2 linked regions of the Oryzias latipes genome follow. The protein of the gene in region 2 purifies or fractionates together with the protein of the main gene of each other region. This does not show direct contact. Links are inferred from orthologs where the notes say so. Each region holds a gene or a part of one and is shown on either strand. Other genes may lie near its edges. The genes, in order: timeless and clspn.

Evidence for each region.
Region 1: the proteins of clspn (region 2) and timeless purify together in Homo sapiens (affinity purification with western blotting; 4 studies listed by BioGRID). This does not show direct contact. The link is inferred for Oryzias latipes from reciprocal best matches to the Homo sapiens genes CLSPN and TIMELESS.

What each region holds. Positions count from the first base shown.
Region 1 is NC_019863.2:27,135,023-27,137,523, forward strand, and holds the end of timeless (protein timeless homolog), read left to right. Parts: coding exon 1-22; intron 23-744; coding exon 745-796; intron 797-866; coding exon 867-940; intron 941-1,471; coding exon 1,472-1,605; 3' UTR 1,606-1,918; downstream 1,919-2,501. UniProt on the Homo sapiens protein: Plays an important role in the control of DNA replication, maintenance of replication fork stability, maintenance of genome stability throughout normal DNA replication, DNA repair and in the regulation of the circadian clock.
Region 2 is NC_019869.2:20,038,957-20,042,774, reverse strand, and holds part of clspn (claspin), read left to right. Parts: intron 1-467; coding exon 468-805; intron 806-875; coding exon 876-1,028; intron 1,029-1,104; coding exon 1,105-1,164; intron 1,165-1,241; coding exon 1,242-1,314; intron 1,315-1,388; coding exon 1,389-1,491; intron 1,492-1,746; coding exon 1,747-2,282; intron 2,283-2,350; coding exon 2,351-2,539; intron 2,540-2,614; coding exon 2,615-2,775; intron 2,776-2,980; coding exon 2,981-3,099; intron 3,100-3,173; coding exon 3,174-3,226; intron 3,227-3,310; coding exon 3,311-3,504; intron 3,505-3,644; coding exon 3,645-3,818.

The sequences.
Region 1 (2,501 bases), on a different chromosome or scaffold from region 2:
AAAAACCCCACCAAGGACTCAGGTGTGCCTGCTTCTGTCTTCTTCTTTACAGAGCAAAATAGCACCAGCTTTTATGTTCTTGATGAACGCAGCATCCTCATCCTGTTCTGTGAAAAACAGAGAATAATTTAACAATAAAATTGAGTTTTATAGAATAAAAACACAAGGACAATAACTCAGTTCATTTCGAATTTGTTGGACTTTCAACCTTTTCTTAGTAAGTTATTCTTTAGAGCTTTACGTCAGCACAGTAAGCCCCCCAAAAGGTTAAAGATATACTTTCTTCACAAAGCAAAGTGCAGGGATTTATTTCTCTTTAATTGATCCTAAAAGAAAACACTGACAAAAAAAGATGAGTGACTAAAAAGGTCCTGCTTTTTTTCTCCTATTAAGTGTTAAAAGGTCTCTGGAGGAAGAAACCTTTTACCTGAACACCTGGCAAACTGTAAAACTGCAAACATTAATCAAAGAGAAGTTTCACCTGCCAGCATTTAGAGCCAATCTTTATTTTTCTGCATCAAATTCTGTGAAACCGGTAGAGCCAGTATGGAGATCAAATCCATCTTTATTTATTTATACACGGTGACACAAATTGCTTTACACCAAAAATACATGAATATAAAATATTAATAATTTCTATTTATTAAATTAATGGAAGTAGTCAATGAGTCTCAGAAAAGAAATAGAAAAAAAATGAATTTTGATATATTTTTTTTAAATAAAATCTTTCTGTTGTTCCTTTAGATGCTGCATCAGATGCAAATTCTGATGAAGACTCAATCAGCTTAACTAAGAGGTGAGATTTTAAAAACCAAATGCCGCACAGACCCTCGAGTCTCCTTAAACCTTCAACTGACTGTCTGCAGCAGATCCCAGGAGGAGAAGACCTCGACTAAAAGAAGCAGAAGGGGACTTTCAGATGATGAGGAGATGGAAAATGGTATTTTGCTCTTTTTCTTCAGATTTGTATCCATTGTTTCAGTTTTCAGTTTAGTTTTATTTCAAACACAAATGAAAAGTCAACACACAGTGGTTTAAAAGACATGAAATAATACAGTGTGCTTGAAAAGGAGTGGGTTGAAGAAAAATCTTGTCTGCTCCCACCCCTTTTTCCAAAACATGATGATGTGCGTATTCAATATGCGTGTTGCTATTTACAGATAGATACAAAACATTCACAATACAATTCTGCATTGCAACTGTGCTTAAGTGACATTTTTTGTTTAACTAATCGTTTCTGGCCTTATAAAGTTCTATTAGTGACTTCTTGTAGGTTTTTTTGAATACATGTAAACTTTTGCTTTGTTTAAACCTTCAAAGTCAGTCAAAGTCTTGTCAGTCAGGTGGTACACAAAAAGAAAAGATTTAAATTGAATGTTAAAATGTCGTCTTTAATTCTAGGCTTAAATTATTTTTATGACCATTGTTCTTTTTTTTTTTTTTTATAATTAAAATGACTTATTTTCTCCAGAGCTGGACTCCAGCACCACAGTGAACATGGACGTGGATGCAGGAGCAGATTCAGACGGGGAGGATATTTCTGCTCCTGTTAAACGACGGCGGAAAATGGTCTTGATAGATGACGAAGAAGAAGAGGAGGATTAGTGATGGTCTTTAATGGACTGCGTAGAGTCTCATCTCTCATGTCTTCTGTGGCACAAAGCTTTCTGGAATCAGAGTGGGATCATTTAGTACCAAAAACCTAAAGTAATAAGTTCTTTTGATGTTTTTATTTTTACTTACCAGTTTATTCTGTTGTGCAGATTGTTGTTTGTTCGTGTCACTTCAATATAATGTTGAGAAAATGTTGCATTTGGTGTACACTCACTTTTCTATAGGTAAAGTGCTTTTATTGTTGCATTCTAAAGTTCAATCTCCTATTTGTATGCTCACCAATAAAATATCAGTTAACAGCAGAGAACATCTTCCTCTTTTTTTTTTAAGCTCTGATGCACTAATTTCTTTTAACACTAGAGGGCATAGTCCTTTTTTTCCTGAACAGCAGAAATACAAAAATATAAACTTTGATTAAAACTGTTCTTATTCTTGCTGTATCTACGTCTCTTTAACAAGTCATTTTTGTGTTTTTCTTGTTTAAGTGACTCAGTTATTCTTAAACGATAAGGAGACATAAAATCAAAGTAGGAGTTCTAAAAAACTTTTTTTTCTTTGTTTAGTGGAAACGGCAAAACAAATGTTTTGTACCTGCGGGTCATGGCTCATATTCGGCAGTCAACATTTTGTGATCTGTTTTGGAAGCTGCTGTCCTCACATCTGGACCACATTAGTAATTTCCTGTTGCAGCATCTGTGCTTGCCCCCATCCCACGTGGCCATAAAGGGGACCTGACAATCCACAAACTTTGCTTTAAGATGAGCAGAGCAAAAACGAGGTGAAGCTGATGGACTTCCAGTCAAAAACACAGGTTTTATGAACAAATTTAAGCCAAATCTTTATGAGACAGCTGGATAATAAACAAAAGTGACTTGCTTTTTCTTTTT
Region 2 (3,818 bases):
GTGTTTTTGTCTCTCTTTGTACTAACTGTCCCACGAACCAGTACCGGCCCGCATTCGCTGGGAACCACTGATCTAGAATGATCGGGATGTTGGAAAAACGTGCAGTGCTTCTCTGGGTCACTCTGATACGGGATGCCTAGAGAAACACGAGGAAACTCTAAAAAAAACAGTTTTTAGATAAAACATAAAAAAATGAATTTTACATGAAGCTTTGTCGCAAATTATTATTTATGTTAAAAAAGAAAAAAAGCTGCACTGTTTTACAAACCAGACTCATGACTGCTCCTCCACAACCTCCTCCTCCTCCTCCTCCTGTTGGAGGCAGATAAAGACAAAACAGGAAAGGGCCGAGAATAGAGCCCTGAGGTTCTGTGTCTAATGTGAACACCTTCTTCAGGATTAAGTCTTCATTCTCGGTTCATGTTTATTTTTTTTACAGATTCTCTTTTTTGTTGTTGTTTTTGCAGACTCTGATGATGACATCACGGCTCACAGAAAGCCTCGCCGTGTCGCCATCAGAGACAGTGACAGCGAGGAGGAGGAAGCGGCAGAAAACGGCTTCCCTGTGGCAGAAGCTCAGCAGCTATCCAGCGGCGAGGAGGAGCAGAGCAGCAGGAAAGGAGCGCAGAGGAGAGTTGCCCACCGGCTCACCGACAGCGAGGACGGCGAGTCGGATGGAAGGGAGGAGTCGCAGCAGGCAGAGGCGAAGAACAGAGAGAAGAGCCGGAGGCGGCGTGAGAAACAGGAGAGGCGAAGTAACGCGGTGGAGAAGCTGAAGAGGAGGAGGTTTGGCGATGAAAATGAGGTAAGTTCTGCTTGCTCAAACGGATCGGAACAGAGAGATGGTGAGGTAAAAACCCGTCTTGTCTCGTTAGGGTGGTGCTTTGCCGCGATCGCTGAACGACAGCGGGTGTCCGTTGGGCGACACGGACCTGTTCGACACAGGGCTAAACGACGAAGAAGAGGAGGAGGAGGAATCTTTGGACGCCATCCGAGCTGCAGTCAAGCAGAAGATGAAAAAGCAGGAGGTTAAGATAAATATCCGAGTCAGCCGTCTGCTGGGGCTCCACGATGAAGCCTTGCTCAAAGGTTCTGTTTCTTTAGGAACGCCTTCTAAGTGAGGGGGATGACGATGACGAGGCAGCGGAGAAGCCCCACCGCGCGGTAGGCGGAGCCAGAGTCTCCCCCCAAGCCAGGGAAGTGTCAGTCATGTGATCAACTTGTTGTTCTCCTGTCCACAGGAGAGGAAGGCGGCGAGGGCGAGCCGAGAGGCCATGAAGCAGCTGCACAGCGAGTCGCAGCGCCTGATCCGAGGTGAGCGCTCCTCCGCCCATCTGCGGCGCCCCCACCCGCTCCACCTGAGCTAACATCCCCTCCTGCCCCCACAGAGTCCTCTTTGGGTCTGCCATACCACATCCCAGAGCCCAAAAGCATCCACGACTTCTACAGGAGAAAAGCCCGCCCCCAGGGTCCCGCAATGGCACTGCTCAAGTAAGACCCTCCCCACGACAAACGTAGTTTGTTCTGTTTGGGAGTTTGACTCTGAGATATAGGCGTTTAAGTCGTTGAGCAGAAGAATTGCAGTGCAAAAAAGGCAGGAAGTTGGTTTGCTTTTTCAAAATAAAAGCCCCTTCATGTAAAGGCACTAGGAAGTCGCGCTGAGTTTCTCTCCAACCCTGGAGTTGAACCTGCGAACAAATCAAAGATCTTTGCTCTGAAAACAATATTTCATCTTTCTCCCATCAGATCTTCAAAATACTCTCAGATGATGTTGGAGACGCCGCCCGACGCTCCTCCCGTGAAGGAGTCCAGCCAACCAACTACAGAGCAGGAAACCCCTGCTTCCCTGGAGCCCTCAACCAATCAGATTGAGTCTTTGCCTGTGCCCTCAGCGACCTCGTCCCCGCAGCAAGAGAGAGAGAGAGCCCACGGAGAGAGTCTCTGTGGGCCAGACGGAGCTTCTGGAGGTTCTGATCCGGAGCTGGAATCGGGCCCGATGCTTTATCTGTCGGAGAGTCTGCAGGAGTCAGACGCAACGGAGAAACCTGTTTCTGACTGCGAGCGGGGAAGCCTGGCCCCGCCTCCAGAGGAAACCAGAACTGCTGCAGAGTCGGGCTCTGAGGTCCAGCAGCAAGAGGAGGCGGAGCCTCCTGCTCCTCTGCTCGTCAAAACCAGGAAGCTGAAAAGACTGAAGGAGCTGGGCCTGGACCCCCCGCCTGTGGCAAAGCTGTGCGCGGACGAGGGCGCTTTCGTTCAGCTGGAGCCCCCCCAACTCAACCCAGGTGAGTTTGATTCCGCTGCATCTTTGACCTGCCCCTCCGTTTTGCTCATGGCCGCCAACCCCCCACAGGCGTAGCGGCCCTGAAAGAACGCTACCTTCGTCACATTCAACCCCCGGCGCACCCCCCCGGAGAGCGCACGCTCCAGCTCAACATCGTGCGCAAAGACAGCGCCCCCTCAGGGCAGGAGGAACTGCGGTCCGAGACGCTCACGATCACTGTCAAAGATGGCGCCGAAGAGCCGGTCCCCGCCAAACCAGGTGAGGAAGAGCAGCAGGCGTGGGCGGAGCTACAGGGTAGTAGTGGGGGTGTGGTTAACTGGCGCGTCTCTGAAGGAGAGAAGCTGCTGAGTCTAAAGCAGCGCCTGCAGCTCGCCATGGCACAGCGGCGCAGGGAGGAGCGGGCCCGCAGGGCTGAGCTGCACCGCCTGGACAACGAAGACTGTGAGGAGGAGGAAGAGGAGGAGGACATGACAGATGAGTCGGAGGAAGAGGAGGTGAGAACTTTAAGGGTTTTATCTGAAAGATTTAAAAAAACAAAAACCACCAGACTCAGCGAAAGGAAAACCATTTAGGTTTCCCTGATGGATTTGAGCCTCAGTGCTTCCCCCTGCTGGTGTAATCCAGAAAAATCATAAATCATGGAAACCTTCAGAGGGTCTTCAGATGGTTCTTAAAAATTCCAAAACAATTGTGTTTCAGGGGTTGGATGACTTGTTGGGCGGCGCTGAAGAAGAAGGCGAGGTGGCGCCTGTGTCCGACCTTGTCCACGCCGACGGCACCCTCATGCTGTTTCCCGGCAGCTCGTGCTCTCGTACCGGGTTCGTTCCCCCGCAAAAAAACTGTTTAAAAAAAAAAACTTTTTAAGACTTTAACGCGTTACGTTCTTCTTCAGCGACGGCGTCAGGAGAGCGCCGCCACCTGGGCCCGACAGCAGCAACAAGACTGGTGAGTGCTTGCTGGTCTTGCCACTTCCTGTTGACGAGCATGTTGGGTTGAAAAGGGCGCCATCTGTCTGTGCCCCGCCCACAGAGGAGGAGGACTCCCTGTCCCTGGTGAAGGACATGAGCCACAACAGCAGCTTCGAGCTGGCAGGATCCATGCTCACCTCCTACCAGCCCGTCAACAACCAGCGCGCCACCGGGAGAGCGGCATTCGGCTCCGCCGCCTTCCGGTCGCCATCGCCATGCTTCTTCAGGCCCAACTTCCTTGGCTCGGCCTCGAAGGTAGACAACTTCAGAAAAGTTTATGAATTTTCATTTTTAAGTTATTTTAAGTGTTTTAATTTTGCGACAGAAGTCTGAGTAAATAAACTTAAATAAAGTCTTAGAAAAAGTTCTTAAATCATTTTTTTCTTTCCTGACAGAGTTCTGGAAAACTCTCGGAGCCGTCCCTCTGCCTCCCGGTGGAGGACTCTCAGGACCTGTATGCCCCCCCATCCCCCGGCGCAGACTCAGGCCAGCTGGCGGGGCCCTCCTCCAGTCGTGGAGTGGGCGGAGACTCGCAGGGGCGCTTCTCCCTGGAGGACGACGCCCAGTCC